Arabidopsis thaliana: one gene and its partners. The protein of the gene in region 3 purifies or fractionates together with the protein of the main gene of each other region. This does not show direct contact. Each region holds a gene or a part of one and is shown on either strand. Other genes may lie near its edges. The genes, in order: LON1, PPR336 and SIM.

Region 1 (9,949 bases), 8.2 Mb from region 3:
CTGTTGTACGCCATCTGGACAATAAGCATGTTGCCAATGACCCTGAGCTCAAGGCTTATATCATACAAGTTGCTGGTTGTCTAGCAAAGCTGATCAGGACCAGCTCGTATCTTAGGGACATAAGTTTTGTTAATGACTTGTGTCGCCACCTGAGGAAAAGCTTTCAGGCGACAGCTAGATCAATTGGAGATGAGGAACTCAACTTGAACGTGATGATTCAAAACTCTATTGAAGATTGTCTGCGGGAGATAGCCAAAGGAATTGTTAATACACAGCCCCTGTTCGATATGATGGCTGTTTCAGTCGAGGGTCTTCCTTCTTCAGGAATTGTTTCACGCGCAGCCGTTGGATCACTGTTGATACTTGCACATGCAATGTCTTCAGCATTATCGCCATCTATGCGTTCACAACAGGTGAACTAAAGTTTGTTTGGTCTCTTCTGAGTGTTTAGCATTATCTATAAAGTTTATTTAATTCTTCTTAATTTTCGTACAGGTCTTCCCTGACACACTTCTTGATGCACTTCTAAAAGCAATGCTGCATCCAAATGTGGAAACCCGTGTAGGAGCGCATGAAATATTCTCTGTAATTCTCTTGCAAAGTTCTGGTCAATCTCAGGCTGGACTTGCATCAGTGAGAGCTTCTGGCTATCTTAATGAATCAAGAAACTGGAGGAGTGATACAACCTCTGCGTTCACATCTGTCACTGCTCGTTTAGACAAGCTCAGGAAGGAGAAGGATGGCGTCAAGATTGAGAAGAATGGTTACAATAATACTCACGAGGATCTTAAGAACTACAAATCGTCCCCAAAGTTTCACAAGTTGAATTCCATAATTGATAGGACTGCTGGGTTTATCAATCTAGCTGATATGGTAACATTTTTCCTTGCTTACAATTGGATGTTGTGTGCTAAAGGACCATCATATGTTTATGCAATTGTCTGATACTGTTTGGTGATGCAGTTACCATCGATGATGAAGTTTACGGAAGATCAAATCGGGCAACTGTTATCTGCATTTTGGATACAATCAGCACTTCCTGATATCTTACCTTCAAACATTGAAGCTATTGCTCATTCTTTTAGCTTGGTGCTTCTGTCCTTGCGACTAAAGGTCAACATAAAAGTTTCTCCTCTTTTCTGGCTCTCTTAATATTTCTCTTTCATAGAGGAAGTTTTCACTTTCATGACGCTATACTTAAAGCTTCTCATGATTATTTTAATTACAGAATCCTGATGACGGGCTTGTTGTTCGAGCCTTCCAGCTTCTCTTCTCATTGAGGACTCTTTCGTTGGACCTTAATAACGGTACTGATTGATGAAACTCTCTTAAACTGATCAAAGTTTAAGAAATCGCTTATGTGCAGTCAAACTTTCTCTTTTTCAGGCACATTACCCTCAGTTTGCAAGCGGTTGATCCTTGCTTTATCCACAAGTATGCTGATGTTCGCTGCCAAAATATATCAGATTCCTCATATTTGTGAAATGTTGAAGGCCCAACTTCCTGGTGATGTGAGTTCCCAATGTGTTGTTTCAGTTATTACTTTTATTTTATCCATGGAGATTGTGTATCACTTGATTATATACTCAAAATTTTCAGGTGGATCCTTATCTTTTCATTGGAGATGACTTACAACTTCACGTAAGACCACAGGCAAATATGAAAGATTTTGGGTCCTCAAGCGATAGCCAGATGGCTACTTCAATGCTGTTTGAGATGCGAAGCAAAGTAGAACTGTCCAACACTATTATAACCGATATTGTCGCAAAAAATCTACCTAAACTTTCGAAGGTAAATCTTATATTTTCTGTTTCTTAGTGAACAATACCTTTTAAGCCCCAATGTTCGATTCTCTTGTACTGATTTGATTTTATGTACTCTCTTGTTAAGCTCGAGGAAGCTGATGTGAAGATGCAAATCTTGGAGCAATTTACACCTGATGATGCTTTTATGTTTGGATCAAGGCCAAACATTGAACCTCAACCAAACCAAAGTATCTCTAAGGAATCGCTGTCCTTCGATGAGGTAAACTATTCTCTGAAGTTCCATATTCCATTGGGATTTTGATAATATTCAGAACTGTTAACACTTATGTTTCTTTATTACAGGACATACCTGCCGGTTCAATGGTTGAGGACGAAGTGACGAGTGAACTCTCTGTGCGTTTCCCCCCAAGAGGATCTCCCTCACCATCTATTCCTCAAGTTATCAGCATTGGACAGCTCATGGAATCTGTAAGCATAGACCACATTCGACATAAAGAAGAAACTGGCTGATATATATATTTGTGTCTTCTTATAATTGGTTTGTGATATGTTATCTAGGCGCTTGAGGTCGCTGGTCAAGTGGTTGGGTCATCTGTCTCTACTTCTCCGCTTCCTTATGACACAATGACTAACCGCTGTGAAACCTTTGGGACTGGTACTAGAGAGAAGCTCTCAAGGTGGTTGGCCACTGAGAACCGTCAGATGAATGGGCTCTATGGAAATTCACTTGAGGAATCATCTGCACTTGAGAAGGTACGTAACAGCTGAGTTGGTAAACACATTAGAACTACAAACTGTTAAAATCTGCTATGGTCCTTAGTAATAGTGAGAAAGATCATAACTTTGTGATACCAAATGGGCTGGTTAAGAGAAAGGTAGAAACTTTATCATACGAGGCTTACACGTTGAGACACGTTGTTACAGGTAGTAGAAGATGGGAACATCTATGGGAGAGAATCTGGAATGTTGCAGGATTCATGGTCCATGATGAGACTACCTCCAGCTAGTCCCTTTGACAATTTCCTCAAAGCAGCAGGAGCTGGAAGATGATTCAACTAACTTGATCATATCAATCTCTGTAGAAAGTGTGTAATCTTGTTGTTCTTATTGGATTTGTAGAGAACTAACTTATCTAGGGCCAATCACGATGCTTCTCGTAGTAATCTAGAATCAGTAGTAAGTAATGCTTGTTTCGTTAGGACAAGAATCTCTGTTAGTGTTGTCGTTATAATCAGTAGAGAACCAATGCTATCTAGATTTGTATCAAATTCTCTTCATTACCTTTAAACGCATCATCAAAACAAAATCGAAGATAAAGTTCACAACTTTAAAGGCCACATCTTTTACTAATGGCGGTGAAGCAAACGGCTTTAGTTGGCCGGACCGGTTTGGTTTTCTGATAACCGGAAAATTCAATGAACCGACTCCAAAACGACGTCGTGTTATTGTGAAGGCAAAATGGTGTTGTTCTCTCTGCTGCCTTTAAAATTGGGGTTTTGCTTCGTCGGGGTTTATGAAGGGCTTTGATACTAATCTTCGTCTACAGGCTTCTTCTCCAGAATTCTCCAATGGTTTCTTGCCTAAAAGGCAAAACTTTATAAAACTCAATCGCAGAAATTGTTACCCCAGATCTTCTTTCTCTCCCACCATGTTAAAGCTCTTCACTTCCTCCGCCTCTCGAGTCCACCATTTGACTCCGGTAAGTAGGGTCGTCGGGTCTTCTCCAGTGGAGTCTCCATTGTTCAAAGCGTTGAGTCAAATCACTGGGTGGAATCGGCGATCTACTTCGTTGGGTCATCGTGCTTTCTTCTGCTCTGAGCCTACCAATGGAGAGGCGGCGGCTGAAGCTGAAACTAAGGCGGTGGAGTCCGATTCTGAAGTGTCTGACTCCAAATCTTCGTCTGCGATTGTGCCCACTAACCCTAGGCCTGAAGATTGTTTAACGGTTTGTGTAACTATGGCTTTTTGTTCCTTTCTCTGTGGAAGATTTGTTAGTGCATTTGTATATGCGTTATTGGATCGTTGGCAATCTAATTGTATAGGAAAATTTCAATTCTTGTTGGAATTATTACAAAGTTGTAAACTTTGGTAATAACTGAGTGGATGATGCTTATGAGGTGCTTTACATCTTTGTTGTTCTATTAGTGGAGAAAGTTGAAGCTTCTGATATTGTATGTTGTTCTATGGTGTTTGCTTAGAGCATTTTTGAATCTGTATTTAGTGGTTTGTTGTTAACAGTCAAGCAAAGACTAATTGGATTTTGTGAACATTTTACATTTGATCATTTTCATTTTAGCGGAGTTATGTTTCTCCTGATGGAGTTTTCCGTTGTTTAATTGCAGGTTCTAGCATTGCCGGTGCCACATAGGCCGCTTTTTCCTGGTTTTTACATGCCAATCTATGTCAAGGTATGTCAATTCATCATTTTCTGGCCTTTAAACACTCTCCAAAACTTGGCCTTGTTTGGTTCTCAAAATCTCATTCGATTCTCTTTAAATGGAGCTGAATCTAGCCTTAGAACTAGTACCGATATCTTCTTATTTTGTTCTCAGTAGAGCATGGATCATTGATTACCTAGTTTACAATCAAAAGTGAAGAGAACTTACATATCAGCTGACACCTTCTTTGAAATATCTGCTGTTTGGGTTTCGACATATAGATCAATTTTAGCCGCATTTGATGCAATTTTTTTGATAATTTACCCCATTGTTTATTAATTGTAATCTTCCCCGCCTGGGACAAAATAGCTAAAAACTATTTCCGTTAAACCACAGCGATGACACGATCTTTATAGTTTGGGAGATGTCAGGTTTTGCTTCTCTGACCAGCATGTGCGTTTTCTGGTGTGCAGGATCCTAAAGTACTCGCAGCCTTACAAGAGAGCAGAAGACGACAAGCTCCATATGCAGGAGCTTTCCTTCTGAAGGATGACCCATCAGCTGATTCATCTTCAAGCACTGACGCAGAAAAAAACATAAATGAGCTGAAAGGGAAAGAGTTGCTTAACCGGCTTCACGAAGTTGGCACACTTGCTCAGGTATTGTGTTGCTGCATTTGTTCAAATTAAAAAGCATGACTAGCATTACGATTTCCTTATTGATTTTCCAGATTTCAAGTATCCAAGGAGACCAAGTTATCCTTGTTGGTCACAGGCGACTTCGCATAAAAGAGATGGTAAGTCGGTATAACAGCGTTCGTACTTTGTAGAATTTTCAACCATGAAAGTTCCAAATCCTCGAAAGTACATCTTCACATCTGTTCTTTGGTTGATCAAGACACTTTTGGTTTAAGGGAGAAATTTTTCCTTTATACAGGTGAGCGAAGAACCACTTACCGTCAAAGTCGATCATCTTAAGGTACATTTTTCTGCTTTTAGGCTTTTCCTCTTATAATATGAGACTACTTTGATTTTGCTTTTTCTATTTGAAACTCTGAAGTCAGGAACCTTTTCTTACTCTCTGTGCAGGATAATCCGTTTGACATGGACGATGATGTCGTCAAGGCAACATCTTTTGAAGTTATTTCAACTCTTAGGGATGTACTGAAGACAAGTTCACTATGGAGAGATCACGTTCAGACATATACCCAGGCATGTTCTTGTCATAATTTCACCTGTTCTGGTAAAAAGGTCTCAGGGTACAAGTGTCTTAGTAGATGTCTTTCAACTTGTGTAGCATATAGGTGATTTCACTTATCCACGACTAGCTGATTTTGGAGCGGCGATATGTGGCGCAAATAGGCATCAAGCTCAAGAAGTTCTTGAAGAACTGGATGTAAGGAGCTTCATTATTGTTGTAATTGTATGATTCTTGGTCAATCTCTCATCTCTGTTTTTATTGACCCAGGTTCACAAACGTCTGCGGTTGACGCTGGAATTGATGAAAAAAGAAATGGAAATTAGCAAGATACAGGTACTTCATTCCCTTATTCTTGTGTCTTTCCCACTAAGGGACTACTTATCCGGTAACTGTTTGAATGGGATAAGATTCTTATCTTCTGAGCCTTTTATAGGAAACCATAGCAAAAGCAATTGAAGAAAAAATTAGCGGTGAGCAACGTCGTTACTTGCTAAATGAGCAGCTCAAGGCTATAAAGAAGGTATTACTCAGCCCGCTTCACAAAATATGCTTGCTATTTTCATCCACATACCATGTCTGTGTAATATATATACATATTTGGTTTGATTCATTTAAGTCATCCAATGCAGGAGCTTGGTGTGGAGACAGATGACAAATCTGCACTTTCTGGTCAGTACGAACTTAAAGTCTTAAACTATCTTCAATTACATGTAGTCAGTTTATATCCTAGTTAGAAATTTAGAATTTCACTGCCTCATGGATCACAATGCATTCATGAGACGTCAGTGTCTTTGGTATGAGTTTGGAGAGCCGTGCACTGTTAATTGTATGACAACCACAACTTATAGTCTGTTCTTTACTGCAGCAAAGTTTAAGGAAAGGATTGAGCCTAACAAGGAAAAAATTCCAGCGCATGTATTACAAGTCATAGAAGAAGAGCTTACAAAGCTGCAGCTGTTAGAGGCGAGTTCAAGCGAGTTTAACGTGACGCGTAACTACCTTGATTGGTTGACCATATTGCCTTGGGGAAATTACAGGTTTTTTACTTTTCATATATCTTTTTTTTTTTTTCTGTTTAAGTAAAGCAGTAAGTCTTTTGGTATGAGAGACTGATATAGAGACGGATGAGCTCTCATCTCATGGCACCATTTGTTTTTGTGTTCACTGATTTGAGGAATCTATTTTGTTAAATTTGCAGTAATGAAAACTTTGATGTTGCACGGGCGCAAACAATTCTTGACGAGGATCACTATGGCTTATCTGACGTAAAGGAAAGAATACTGGAATTTATTGCAGTGGGAAGACTTAGAGGCACTTCACAAGGTTTGATACTTATCCAGTAATTGTGATTTGATCTTGTTGAAAAAAACTTGTCCCCTTAAATTTGAGTAAATGTGTCCCCAGGGAAAATCATCTGCCTCTCCGGCCCTCCTGGAGTAGGCAAAACTAGTATTGGGCGGTCTATTGCACGTGCTCTTAATCGCAAATTTTTCCGGTTCTCTGTTGGAGGGTTAGCAGATGTCGCTGAGATCAAGGTATAATACCTTTGTTTTGGTATACTTGCAAATATTAGTCAAACATTTGTGACTGAATTCTTTCCTAGAAACAAAAAACCATTCTTGTAATTACATGTTTAGGGGCATCGTCGGACATATGTTGGCGCCATGCCAGGAAAGATGGTGCAATGTCTAAAGAGTGTGGGGACAGCAAATCCTCTTGTTCTAATCGATGAGATTGATAAGGTAATATATTTTTTGTTTTGATATTTGTCATCATATGGTAGCTTCTTTTATTCATCAGTACAATACTGTTTCAATCTCTAGTTACCAAAGACAAATTTCTCTGCAATAAATTGCTATATTGTTCCTTTGCAGCTGGGGAGAGGCCATGCTGGTGACCCGGCCAGTGCTTTGTTGGAGCTTCTGGATCCAGAGCAAAACGCAAATTTTCTGGACCACTATCTCGACGTTACTATAGATCTATCAAAGGTAATTAAATGTGGTCAAGGACCAAATTTTGTATTTCTTTTCTTCATGATGTTCTGTCCACCAATAGATGGATATGAATACCATTTTGTTTCATGTGATACTAGGCCGATTGAATTTAATTGCTGATCCATTTCCCTACAGGTTTTATTTGTGTGCACAGCAAATGTGATAGACATGATTCCAAATCCTTTGCTAGACAGAATGGAGGTGATTTCTATTGCTGGGTATATCACTGATGAAAAAGTTCATATCGCAAGAGACTATTTGGAAAAAACTGCACGTGGAGATTGTGGTGTCAAGCCTGAACAGGTCTCACTTTCATCCTATTCTCCAATTGTCTCTTCTTTTAACTCTCGGTAAATTAAAATGAGTGAGTGATTATCAATGAATCACATACTTCTAAGATTTCGTCAATTTGTTCGTACTATGCAGGTTGAGGTGAGTGATGCAGCGCTTCTTTCCTTGATAGAAAATTACTGCAGAGAAGCAGGTGTTAGGAATCTCCAGAAACAGATCGAGAAGATTTACCGTAAGGTAAGTTTTGCTACAAGACTCCGAATTGATTCCTCAAGCCCTCAATGTCGAACACCATTTACTTTTCTGTTGTAGATTGCACTTAAATTAGTGCGTGAAGGAGCAGTCCCCGAAGAGCCTGCAGTTGCAAGTGATCCTGAAGAAGCTGAAATCGTGGCTGATGTTGGCGAATCCATAGAGAATCATACTGTCGAAGAAAACACTGTGTCCTCTGCTGAAGAACCAAAGGAAGAGGCCCAAACCGAGAAGATAGCTATTGAAACGGTTATGATTGATGAGTCAAACCTTGCGGATTATGTAGGAAAACCGGTATTCCATGCAGAGAAGCTCTATGAGCAGACACCGGTAGGTGTTGTGATGGGTCTAGCTTGGACATCAATGGGTGGTTCAACATTGTACATAGAGACGACTGTTGTGGAGGAAGGGGAAGGTAAAGGTGGCCTGAATATAACGGGTCAGCTCGGTGATGTGATGAAAGAAAGTGCACAAATTGCTCACACAGTCGCCAGAAAGATCATGCTAGAGAAAGAACCAGAGAATCAGTTCTTTGCAAACTCCAAGCTTCATCTCCATGTTCCTGCAGGAGCCACTCCCAAGGATGGTCCAAGTGCAGGCTGCACCATGATCACATCTTTACTATCACTTGCCACGAAGAAACCCGTTAGGAAGGACCTTGCAATGACTGGAGAAGTCACACTAACCGGAAGAATTCTTCCTATTGGTGGGGTAAGTAACTCCGGACTTCTCTCACTCTATTCTATTAGAGCCTCTCTTTTTTTTTCCTTTTTTGACAATGTACACAAAAATGTTACAGGTGAAAGAGAAAACTATAGCGGCGAGGCGGAGTCAGATTAAAACAATAATATTTCCAGAGGCAAACCGGAGAGACTTTGATGAGCTGGCAGAGAATGTGAAAGAAGGGCTTAATGTTCACTTCGTGGATGACTATGGAAAGATCTTCGAGCTTGCCTTTGGCTATGACAAACAAGAAGACTGAGAACACACATAAGCCACGTTGACCTTTTGTCATCTGTTGTTGTCTCCATTTAAACAACACTACCATTCTTGATTCTCTTTGATCTTTTTCTTCCTTCAAGAAGAAAGTTATTCTGTAACTTTTTTTTTATGATTAGGGTAATTTATTGGTGGTTGGATTTTATTATTTTGGTATATAACCAAAGCCAAATATCATAATAAGACATCAGAACAAAGTAAAAAAAACAAAGTTGTTTCTCATTTTGTGCTTGTAATTTCATCAACATATTCGCGTATTACTTTCACTGTTGCTATGTGTTCGATCACACTTCATAACAGACTAGTAACTTGTTGGCATAATTTTCTGTTTTATATTCCTTTCTACTGGATTAGATGATGGGTAATTTGACTATTAAACTATGTAATGAAATGTATATATATTCTTAGTTCGTACTCAGACAAAAATAGGATTGAGAAGATAGCATTCATACTTAGGAAAAACATACAATTCAACACAAACTCTTCATCAGACAATTAACCTCATATAATCTGATATCTGAAGTAGAAACAGAGGCACGGACTTGATAGAAGCTACAGTTGTCATGGTTATAGAGAAAGACTGAAAATTTGCTCTGATGTTGACTCAATGGTGACGTCGATAGGTCTTGCTCTGTGTTTGACACACCGATATTCACCAATGGTTCTGTCCATTGTTGATGACGGGGATCTGACCTAACTCGGTCTGGTTTTTCTCGGGTTGTAGTAACAGAAGCTTATCTTGTAGTACCCGTAGACCACTTTCTAATGAATCCTTCATCTCTAAGACTTTCTCCGAGAGCTTACTGTTGTCGAGGATCTTCTTACGTAGAAACAGAGAAAGGTTGGTTCTTTTCTTGCGTCGCTCTCTCTCGTGTAGTTTGCTAAACCTCTCTGCCATGTCTCGAACCTTGGATTGATCCTCCGGCCATGTCTTGATGAGTTCTCCGTCACGACTATAAAGTATGACACAGACTTCGATATCGCACAGAGTTGAAAGCTCGAGGGCTTTCTTAAACATTGTATCTTCTCTCATAGACAAGTTTGGTTTCTTCTCACAGAAAATTTGGTT
Region 2 (6,204 bases), on a different chromosome or scaffold from region 3:
CTAATTACTTTTCTTGGGTTTTACGTTAAAAGAAAAAAAAACTTAATGATTTAAAAGGATGAAAAAGAAAATAAAAATTAGTTTGATGAATCAGATGATGATGTCTGAGTAGGAGAGGCAGGAGTAGTGTTAGTGTTATCAACCACCTCTATAGGCTTAGCCAAGAACTCAAGTGCTGTGACCACATCTCCCATCAATGGCCTAGTCTCTGCTTCTTCTTGCAAACACATCGCTGCAATCGCTAGAGCTTGATGCAACCCTTTTACTGGGTAGTTCCCATCTAGATTTGGATCCACAATCTGCGCAAACATCCTTCTATCTTTCAACAACGGTTCCGCCTGCCAAACCAAAAAAAAAAAGACTTTCATCGGTTTCTTTCTTCTCAAGCAACAACACAAATATGTTAACAAGACTCTTGCTTGATGAAATACCCAAGAGATCAAGTTTTGTTCTTCAGTTGGTCTATCGCCATCAATAGCTCGTCTTCCGGAAATGATCTCAAGAAGGACAACACCGAAACTGTAGACATCGGATTTAGCAGTGAGTTGACCGGTCATCGCATATTCAGGGGCACAGTATCCGTATGTTCCCATGACTCTTGTGGACACATGATCTTTGCCTTCAGTTGGTCCAAGTCTAGCTAACCCGAAATCCGATAGCTTTGAGTTGAAGTCAGATTGTAACAATATGTTTGAAGCTTTGAAATCGCGGTAGATCACAGGAGGATCTGCGTAGTCGTGCAAGTACTCGAGCCCTTTCGCTGCTCCGTGCACTATCCGCATTCTGGTGAACCAGTCTAGACTTGGTGACCCTTCTGGTAAGTCTATGTAGTGAAGAAAGATTAAAACTTTAGATTACAATGCAAAAGCTTTGATGATATAACATGAGAAGGTCACAATCTTTACCGAACAAATGATCTTCCAAAGATCCGTTAGGCATGAATTCATAAACGAGGACTCGTTGCTCGTCTTCGACGCAATAGCCAATGAGATTGACAAGGTTTGGATGTTGAGCCAGACTCAATACCATTACTTCTGCAAAGAACTCTCTTGTTCCTTGCAACCCATTCCTATCAAGCCTCTTTACAGCCACCACCTAAACTTCTCATCATTCAATCAAACAAAAATTAGCAACTTTTCGCCAAATTTCACACACTTACATAGAAGTTTTGAGAGATTGAAAAGGACCTGATTGAGGCTGGTGAGAAACCCTTTGTAGACTCTTCCAAAACCGCCTTCACCAATCATACAATCCATGCTGAAATTGTCGGTTGCAGCTATTAGCTCCTTGAATTTGAAGATTCGACCGCAGTTCTTCACGTTCCCATACTTCTTTATCTCTTCCGTTATATACTTCTGCCTGCAGCTTCCTGCATTTATCAATGTTCATAAACATTTTCAGAAACCAAATGATATGTGATCAAATCTTTGAGAAGATTGAGTTAGATGAAGAAGAGACAACGTTTACGAATACCTTTCCGATGTGAGCGAAATGTGAACAGTGCAAAAAGTTTACGGCTATGGCCTCTATAAGCTGTAAGACCTTCGTCAAATGAATCTCTAGGCGAATTAGGTCCAAGCTGATGCGGGTTGATGAAACAAGGACAAAGCTTCATCATTTTCCTTCTTCTTCCTTCCTCTGTTTGTTTTTTCTTTTCTGTTCTTGATTCTTCAGACAAAAACAAATCCTTTGTAATGAATCCCCCAAGGAAAGATTCGATCTTGTCTCTCTTACCGATCCTTTCAGATCCAAACCCTGTCTGGGCAAAACGAATCTGAAAGAAAGATCAGATCTTTCCCAGGAAAATGATGTTGCATGACACGAGAATTTAGGGGACGATCACAAAGTTTTGCTCTCTCTTATTGTTATATATGAATGTTCCCATCTCTCAAATTTGGATAAAAGGATTATTCTTCTTTTTCTTATTTTTAGGGTTCTCTTCTCTGTTCGTGAATAAGCCAACGCGTCTCTCTCTTTTAACAAACTTCCAATCAAATCTTTACTCCAAAACACATTAGTTCGTGGTAAGCATGTAAACATTAAACTTCTTTCTATATTATATAGTCATCATACTATATAATATAAACATAGGAAGACACTTAACATTGCTACAATGCTTTGACCAAATCTTACAGATAAACTGCTCAACATCTCTCTGATTCCAAATCCAAAAACTAACAAGATAAACCATTAATCTATAGCTACCATGATGAGCAAAAGATTACTATCTTCTAAGAAGATATAAACTTATTTCATTGCTGACAAATGAAGAGAGAAAATTCGTAAAATTTTGAAAATACCGATCTCGGGAACTATCTTTTGATTCATTGCGGTAATGCGGCTTCGACTTCGTTCCACAACTCAACGTTTCTAGTGAACTTCTCTTTCACTTGCCCAATAAGCTCCTTTGCTTCTTCGACTTTCGAATCCTTAGCTAGTCCGTTAACAAGCGACTTCATGATACTAAAACTCGGAACCCAATTCTTCTCCATACTCTCTTTACAAAGACTCAAAGCCGTCTCAAAGTCTCCTCCTTTGCATAAGTAATATATAAGAGTGAAGTAACACTCACTATCAGGCTTACATCCTCTGTTCACCATAATCTTAAACAACTTCTTCGCTTCCTCGAAATCATCTTCATTACAAAACCCGTGAATCAAATGGCTATACGTTACCGTATTCGGTTTCATCCCTGCAGATAACATCCCATCAAGCAAAGCCTTCGCTTCCTTAGATTTCTTCCTCTTACACAAACTCTGAATCCTAATGTTATAAGTCGAAACACCGATATTAACACCACGATCTTTCATCATCGCCAACACTTTCCCTACTTCATCACTCTTATCCTCTGCATAAAACCCAGAAATCATCAAACCAAAGCTTGAACTATTCGGCTTTATCCCTTTCCTCTCCATCTCCGCAACAATGGAGTACGACGAACTCGCTGAACCGGATTCACAAAACACTTTGATCATACGATTATAAGTCTCGAGATCAGGTTCAATTCCATACATCTTAGGCATCTCAATGTAAACTCTTTTAGCTTCTTTGTAATCCTTAGCTACTAAACAAGCAAAGAGAAGCGCGTTTAAAGACTTCACCGTACGAGAGATTTCGAATTTCTCGAGATCACGAAAAACTCTTAAAGAGTGATCAAGCATATTAGCTTGAGCATACAAAACAATGGCGTGAGCAGCAAAACGTTCCGATTTGAGATCTGGTCTGTTTTCGATGAATCCGTCGAGGAGATTCGATACAGCGGAGAAATGTTTCTTCTCGGCGAGATTCTCGACGGCGGCGGAGAAAGCGATTCGATCTATGCGGCAATCTGGAGTAAGAGAAGCTGCACGGCAGATTTCGAGGATACGATCTGGATCTTTCTCGGATTTGAGAAGAGAGAGAGCTGCTTTGCTTTTTTCTTTGCTTGTGAGAGGAGTTTTTGAATCTGGTGAGAGGATTGTTGAAGCCGAGGAGAGTGATCGGATTTGTGGTGATGCGTTGAGGTGACGGAAGAGAGATGTTGATGAACGGATTCGAGAGAGTAACGCCATTGTTGTTTTCTTAGGGTTTTAGATGAAGAAGATGACTGTGAAATGAAGAAGAAGACGGAGACTGGAGAATTAGGGATTGTTAGGGTTTTTGTGTTGTGTAAAATCTAATCATAGCCGTTGATGGGTATTTTAAAAGTCTTCACAATGGACGGTTGAGATGAAAACGAAAATTAAAAAAGTTGAGATCCGGATTTGTTCGGGGAATTGAACCCGACGTGAATCGAACACGCAACCTTCTGATCTGGAGTCAGACGCGCTACCATTGCGCCACGGATCCGGTAATTAATAGTCTCTCTAACTTATATATATTGCAGAAGATAAATTGTATTATGGTGCGAATGGTTGCTGCGGTTGAGGTGACAAATCTGGTGATGAATAAGTCACACACGCATACGCTTCCCATAAACTACTTTTTTCTACTTTAATTTCTCGATCTTACAACGGTCCAAGGCTAGAAATAAGGGGACTAATCAGATTGGTTCAGTGTTCAATCCAAGCGATTTTCAACTGGTGAGAGACTATCTTCGAAATAAGGTTGAAAAGGGGCAAAACAGCTCCATAAGAGATTGTACCAAGTCGAGTTGTGGCTTCTTCAACACGTAACACCACATCCTTTCTTCAAGTTTTAGAGAGTGGTTCTATTTTATTCCGAGTAGACAAGGATGGGACGAATAGACCGCAAGATCGCAAAGTACCCGCAATAAACGGAGAGAGCGAAGGCGGCACTTGGAGACCCATTGATTGGAAATTTCCGATCGTTGACGAAGCCGAGATGTTGATAGGTTACAGGGAGAGTTTCGTGTACCGCAAGAAACAGAATTGTAATTCCTATGGAAGTATACTTGGTTCATGACTCAGTATTATTCCCTTTGCGATGATCACAGCTTTGTCTTGTGCAGGATCCGACACCAGAGAAGATAGATGGAAGATGGTGTTTTCTTAAGGTTTAGCTGATGCATTTGATACGCTTGTGATTGGTTTTCTTTTCATAGTAAGATTGGTTTTTCCTCTTAGATTCAGTAATGTTAGGACCACATATTTTATTGTCCATTGCCAGTTTAACTTATGGAATTAATTAAAACTCCAACTCTCGATGGTTGGATTCATTTAATTTAGGGAAGTGATTGGGCCATTGTATTTGGTCCTAACTCCTATTAATCAGACGTTGAAAAGATACCCTTTCTTCTTCAACTTTTAGCTAAAAACTGACAGAAGTTGGTAAGAAGAAACAACTCACTCTTTATTTTCATATACAATCATACACTGAAATAAACTTTCAACTTTGCTCCTATATATTCTAATCTCAAATGTCCATCAAAAAAAAAACTCCCACAACACCAAGAAACCAAAAAAAAAACTCAAATTTCCAAGTCATTAAATAACAAAGCGATATACATTTTTCGATTGAAAAACGAGAGTTTAACAATTGAATATGCATCTTACAAGTGATCATCTATCGCCATATTTCGGGGAAACAAAAATTTTGATTTCAATCTGACCTCAAAACTCCCAAAAAAAATAAAAATAAACAAATCATTTCATTAATTTATTTATTGCTTCAAAAGCGGCTCACGGCTCTCTTCCCACTGGTCCAATCTGCTCGAAGCTTTCTCAACCTAAATTACAAAATAAATTTAGATTAATACCACGATTCATTGAATTCCATCATTATCATATCTACCAAAACTCATACAAAGATTTGTGCATAAAACTTTTCATTATAAACCTAAAAATGCTCCTAGATTAAAAAAATAAAAATAATTTACCTCTTTGTCCCAATCAGTTCGTAAAGTGACAATCACTAAGATTATTGTTTGCATTAAAGTACCACCAATCATCCCAGTCCATATTCCCTGCACCATATCAAACACACACATTAAATATTACAGCTATTATTATTTAATAAGGTACAATTATTGTAACCAAATTTACATGAGAAAAAATTTACCTTAGCTCCCATATCATAAGTGAAGCCAAGAACGAATCCCACTGGAATCCCCACAACGTAGTAACATCCAATGTTTACGTACGCAACAAATGCTTGCCATCCACATCCAACAGCCACACCTAAATATTGTACATCAAATTAATTTCAGTTTTTAGTACGTTTATTAATGATGTATAACGATTTGTGTGAAATGTGGGGGTTTTTTTTATACCGGACAAAACAGGCTGAATTCCATTGAGGACAATTGTGATGGCTAAAAAGGGAGATAAATCCGCAACGGCCTCAGCCACTGCTGGACTATCAGTAAACGCATAGCTGATGACGTGACGCCACGATAAGACCACGATGGCTTCGAAAACCGATAGTAAGAATGATACTCCCGTTGTCACGACTGTGGAGAACGCGGCTGCTCTCGGGTTTCCGGCTCCTAGCTCGTTGCTTACTCTCACACTACACATAAATTGAAAAAAGTGTATTATTAGTAAACCATAAGGAGCAAAACAATAACTATAGTTTGGAGTGAATAATGTTAGTTTTGTTACCAACCTTGCAGCTGCGTTGAATCCAACGGAGACCATGAATGAGATTGCAGAAATTGACATGCTGCAAAAACAAAACAAAAAAATGAGTTTTCGACAACTGGTTTGTGCAAGTGTATGCCGTTTCTAGTCAATGGAAACGACATGCGGTAAGAACTCTAACAAA
Region 3 (5,194 bases):
AATCTACAATGTATACTATATTGTATTATTTAACCTTGACCTTTTTGTACGAGCTCTCAAACTTCTAAAACTTATGATTAGATTAAGAAGATTCAAATGGCCAAATAATCTATACAAATACAAATCTGATATATATGAGAAAGGTCTTGATATAATGTGAATTTTTCTAGTATCCAAGCATATAAGCTTGCTAAGTTTAGTTATGCCATACTTTCTTCATTAGAAGTAATGAAAATTTAATTAAATGTCATAAGTTTCAAAAAAGAAAAAAAAAACTGAGTTAACATGTGCCCTATATTGTGGAAATAGAATAATTTCTTAGTTAATTATCACTAGCTAGTCCAATGTCAACACATTGTTAAATGTCATTTTACCAATAACATGTTAGGAAGTGGCTACATACTGACAACAAAATTCCATAGATAAACCAAACAGTGAAAATTCAATGTCCATCAGTAACTATATGATAAATTAAATTGTGACAGATCCAATAGTGATAAGACAAATGTATAATTTTCTCATAGCTAGTTTTAGGATTAATCCAAAAGTGGAAATTATGTGACAAGTTAGACATTACAAACCATTCGCCATAATATATTTCTTATGGGTCTTCATTACTTCACTAAATTCAACTACCATTCAATTGCTACAGCATGTTTTCATAATAGTGCTAGTGAATTTTCTGCTACCTAGTTTTCAGTTAGATTATATTCTTATGTGTAATTCCCAGTTCTCTTTTAGTTGAGTATATCTAAGGAATTTATGAAATCCTTAAAACATATTGGTAGATCAACTCAACTTTTTGTCCAAAAATGGCAGTTAAAAGAGTTAAGAGATTAAGCTTCAAAGCATATGTATTGGTTAGAATAATGTTTCAACAGAACCAGAGTAATGCAAAATGAACTATTATGTAAGAAATAGTACTAATATATAATCAAATATTTTTCAACATGTAAACTTATTAATTGGTAACCGATTTTCCGAGTACGTGACGAATGGGCACCCCTAATGAATATTAGATTAATTTTCTTCAAGACGTCATCCATAACATTAAATTTTCATTAAATTACATTAATTTACAGATCCCAAAGCCGTATTTATCGCTCTAGTTGTCGGCCCAAAAATGTCAGAGATCAACATGAATTTCCGATCAACTTTGTTTGATTACAATATTACTTTAATTAATTAGCTTGCAATATAAGCAACAATCTATTTTCTATTCAGTTTATATAATAGTATTAATTTAAATAGTTGGATCAAGGCATCATTAGCTCTCTCGTGGCTTCTTACACAAGCACACGTAAGTCACGCAACTATTTACATAATCTCATCAACCAAATGGTCCAAATCACATCAACACCTAAACCATCCGTTAATTATCATTCTTTTGAACTTTATTACTTTGTTGTAACCTGACTAACTACTTCTTCTTCTTTTTTTGAACCTGATTAACTTATTTTCAAAACTTTGAATATAATTACCTTTCTAACTTTTCATAACCTTAAAGATGGTGCCATATTGATTATATTTTGTTTTAATTTTCTTACTAGCTACCATCATAATTATGCTTATGTTAATTGGATCGGAAGCCATAATTATGCGCAACATGGTAACACATAATAGAAATATATCGTGGCCGACAAAAATAATTGCTTGCAAAGGCAACTCATTTTCTCTCCTTTTGTTCGTGATATCTCAGTGTTTTGAAATTGTTACTTTTATATAATTAATAGTTATCATCATAACCCATGACACAAAATTTCATAATTCAAACTATTGATCAATTCAAGAGATTCATATATCCTTATTAAGAAAGTACATCGATCAGCTAATGATGAAAATGTACTTTTTGGCCACTAAATAAAGTAAATGCTATAGGATTTCATTGTTCAGTTTCACAACTTTCATCAGTCGATATATATAGGTTTTTTCTTTTATCCAAAAGATGATATACATACTTGTGCATGTGCCTCTCGCTGGAAATATATTTACGATGTCAATAAAACTACTGGAATTTGGTCATTCGTTATCAAAACAGCTAGCAAATTTTAGTAAAGAAAAAAAGATTCCATCGATCGATCGCACATGTATATTTATAGAGTGGGTCGACGTGTAAAGTTGATAAAAACATTACATAAAAATAAATAAAAATCGAAAAAGCTATTCGAAATTATGGAACCTTTAATGAAACGTCCAATTATTGATCATCTTCGTGAACAAGAACGGAAACTTCTTCGCCGCTTGGCCACCGTGATAGCCGTCGTGGTGGATGACGCCATCGTTTGGTTGTAAACAGAGGAGAAGAACCGCTCGATCTCATCTTTGTTGACGATGATCTCATACTTGGACAATGACGTCATAAGCTTTCTCTTGCAAGATCTGATGCCGAGAGACGACGGTGTGGAAGGTGGACGGGGTTTCTGCGGTGGAGGAGGAGGAGTGGTGGCTGTGGTGGGAGGAATCTTGTGGTCGGAAGAAGTGGGAGTGGTGCAGCCGCCGCCGTCATCATCTCTGTTGGTGTTGGCTCGGATCTTGATGGCTGGTGGGAAATTCAAGATGGGCAGATCTTGTATTAAATCAAGATCCATTCTTTTTTGTTTATATAAATATTAAATGTATATGTTCTTGAAGAGTTGTTTTTTTGTTTGTGTGTTTTAGCGTGTGCCTGAACAAATCTTCTTAGAGAAGTGGACTTGTGGGTTTCTTATATATATGTGCTTCTGTCTTTACATACATGCCTTTTTGGTTGTATATGTGTTTATCTTTAATATAATTAGAAAGATAAGCGATGATAGAAATAAATCCACACTACTGCTACTTCTCTTCATTTACATTTGATAGATAAAAGTAAGCCACATGCCAAGTTAATCCATTACTATTAGTGAAAGCTTCCTTACAATCTTTTAAAAATAATGAAAACATATATTTTGAGGAAATAGTGATGTAATGGAATTTCTTACATGCATATTTAAACAACGAAAAATTTACTGAAATAAGTAAGGAATTCATAGTGCCTATTTTTCATGTCAGTAAAAAGAAATTGTATCTTTTATATATTGGGTTATGTTTTATTAACGAACCAATAATAAAAAAAACGTGTGTTACATGAAGCTTAAAAAGCTAGACAGTAAAGAAAATTCAATAGAGGAAGCAAAGAATATTTTAGACAAAAAAAAAAAAAAAAAGAGGAAGCAAAGAATATAAGTTTTTAAGATAAAATTCAGTTGTTTTCTACTGTAGAGAAAACAGTATATGCATCTATATATATACCGAAAGATAGAAAAGTCATCTTTCCAAAATGAAATAAAAGAAAAGAAAATGTAGAAAAGAGGGTATATATTCATATTTTTAGATTGAGAGTTACATCCACTTAAAAAAGAAGAATCAAATCAAGGAAGAGGGAACCTATATAGAATTAATTTACTTTAACAAAAATATTCAAAGAACATATTTTTTTTAAAAAATATCAAACTTCTATCAATCCGAATGTAGACTTAACATGCACGCATATAATTTAGTTTTTAGAAGGATATAAAAAGAAATCAAAATATTATTTTTGGTATCCTGTTTACATGCAAATTTGTTTGGTTAAAGTAGTAACATGCATTTGTTCAAAATAAAAAAAAAGTAGCAACATGCATATGTTTAGAAAAAATAATCAACCAGTAACATGCATATGTTTAGTTGAAGTACATAATAGATAGTTTATATTTATATAAAAAAATAGTTTATATTAATGAAAAATGAAAATCATATAAAAAATGAGGCAGATATATAAAGAGATTCAAATTTTACCTCAAAGTTTTTAATCTAGATCTAAACGTAGAGGTTGGTTAGAATTTATGTCGTGTACCGCTAAGGAAACTAGAGACATGTCATGTGTATAGACTTTAGAGTTTTTGTACATGCATGATGTATCAATTACATGCATATTTAACATATATACATATTTTGTCAAATTATACAAAATTATGTTAAAATATGTTTATAACTACGATCTGGGATATAATTGCAGTCGGTTTAATCTTATTTATTCTCTTTTAAATTAACCAAGATTCCATTGCAGAGAAAGTAGCATAATTTTATTAAGTAAGATTCCATTGGTATATCTTTTAATGATACTATTGACTATGATATTAACTTTTATCCGCACGACATCTACACGTTCGTTTTAATCATGTTTTTTTTTAATTTACTTACAACAGACTCCTCATGCCAATAATCATATTTCAAGAAAACAACTATATAGTTAAATTTGAATCTAGAAGTCAGCTTATACATGATGTATGCAGTGTATATCCAGACTTTAGTTACAAAGGTATTAAGGTAATTTAGTGTACAGAGAATCTATCATCTAAAGAAATGCCACGTGTCGAATTTAGAGGAGGCATGTAGTGTGATGTAGGGTTGATCTGTGGATGGATGCGACTGCCATTATCAGACAGTGAAAGCCCAAAAAAAAAAGGTACAGAAAAAGAAACAATCTCACTGATCTTTTTCTCAGTCTCTCACCGTCTTTTTTTTTTTTTTTTTTTTTTTCATTTTTACTTTAATATTTATATTACTATTTTTTCATATATAATTACAATTTGTTTTATTTTTCTTTTTTACCATATATTTTTTTTTACATTTTCTTTACGCAGAAATGCTTGGACAGTATTTTTATGTTATGGCCTTATGGGTTTGGTATTTCGGGACCACTTTTTTCGATCAATCTTTTTGAACAACTTTTTTTTTTTTCGGTAAATCTTTTTGAACAACTTTAGTTGTTGACAACAAAATAAACGTTTGTTGTTACTCAAGCGTTCGTGATTTAAACTTTTCGTAAGTTTTTGTTGAAGATTTTGGACCATTTGGTATTACTACTCTAGCAGTCTAGCCTTATATCTAAGAGTAGATTAAAAATATTCTTCTAATCTGTATATGATGATGTATACGATACTTAAGTAACACATAGTCACATACACATTAGCGTAACCGGTAGGTTTAAAATTGAGTGCCGGTTTGACAAGAATTTCGAATATGACACGATATATGAAAGCGAAACTATTTACACAAAGATACTTTTGGTTTCAGTTTTACGCGAGTAGATCTATGAACAAAAAAAACTAGCTAGCTACTACTCGATAAAAACAAGAATGGATGTAGAAAATCCTCAATATCATATTATATTTACGTGGTTGACATGACATGA

Evidence for each region.
Region 1: the proteins of SIM (region 3) and LON1 purify together in Arabidopsis thaliana (affinity purification with mass spectrometry, with the first as the bait; one large-scale study listed by BioGRID). This does not show direct contact.
Region 2: the proteins of SIM (region 3) and PPR336 purify together in Arabidopsis thaliana (affinity purification with mass spectrometry, with the first as the bait; one large-scale study listed by BioGRID). This does not show direct contact.

Annotation. Positions count from the first base shown.
Region 1 is NC_003076.8:9,447,769-9,457,717, forward strand, and holds LON1 (lon protease 1), read left to right. Parts: upstream 1-3,183; 5' UTR 3,184-3,279; coding exon 3,280-3,711; intron 3,712-4,108; coding exon 4,109-4,174; intron 4,175-4,617; coding exon 4,618-4,803; intron 4,804-4,874; coding exon 4,875-4,940; intron 4,941-5,080; coding exon 5,081-5,122; intron 5,123-5,232; coding exon 5,233-5,355; intron 5,356-5,440; coding exon 5,441-5,539; intron 5,540-5,611; coding exon 5,612-5,677; intron 5,678-5,777; coding exon 5,778-5,864; intron 5,865-5,973; coding exon 5,974-6,013; intron 6,014-6,209; coding exon 6,210-6,381; intron 6,382-6,542; coding exon 6,543-6,667; intron 6,668-6,748; coding exon 6,749-6,879; intron 6,880-6,981; coding exon 6,982-7,086; intron 7,087-7,218; coding exon 7,219-7,332; intron 7,333-7,473; coding exon 7,474-7,641; intron 7,642-7,764; coding exon 7,765-7,866; intron 7,867-7,941; coding exon 7,942-8,592; intron 8,593-8,680; coding exon 8,681-8,863; 3' UTR 8,864-9,232; and 1 more. Other genes in the region: AT5G26850 (Uncharacterized protein), read left to right, coding at 1-413, 496-873, 964-1,113, 1,229-1,307, 1,387-1,511, 1,600-1,791, 1,891-2,025, 2,109-2,234 and 2 more; AT5G26865 (AGAMOUS-like MADS-box protein), read right to left, coding at 9,533-9,913.
Region 2 is NC_003070.9:22,863,002-22,869,205, forward strand, and holds PPR336 (pentatricopeptide repeat 336), read right to left. Parts: upstream 3,666-6,204; 5' UTR 3,552-3,665; coding exon 2,325-3,551; 3' UTR 1,950-2,324; downstream 1-1,949. Other genes in the region: AT1G61860 (Protein kinase superfamily protein), read right to left, coding at 78-338, 432-823, 906-1,095, 1,188-1,369, 1,474-1,618; AT1G61890 (MATE efflux family protein), read right to left, coding at 5,102-5,167, 5,318-5,404, 5,500-5,618, 5,711-5,949, 6,046-6,102.
Region 3 is NC_003076.8:1,264,689-1,269,882, forward strand, and holds SIM (cyclin-dependent protein kinase inhibitor), read right to left. Parts: upstream 2,729-5,194; 5' UTR 2,670-2,728; coding exon of another isoform or gene 2,659-2,669; 5' UTR 2,589-2,658; coding exon 2,205-2,588; 3' UTR 1,937-2,204; downstream 1-1,936. Other genes in the region: AT5G04475 (uncharacterized protein), read left to right, coding at 2,332-2,569, 2,659-2,669. UniProt on the Arabidopsis thaliana protein: Cyclin-dependent protein kinase (CDK) inhibitor that functions as a repressor of mitosis in the endoreduplication cell cycle. Inhibits the kinase activity of CYCD3-1/CDKA-1, CYCD2-1/CDKA-1 and CYCB1-1/CDKB1-1 complexes in a dose dependent manner.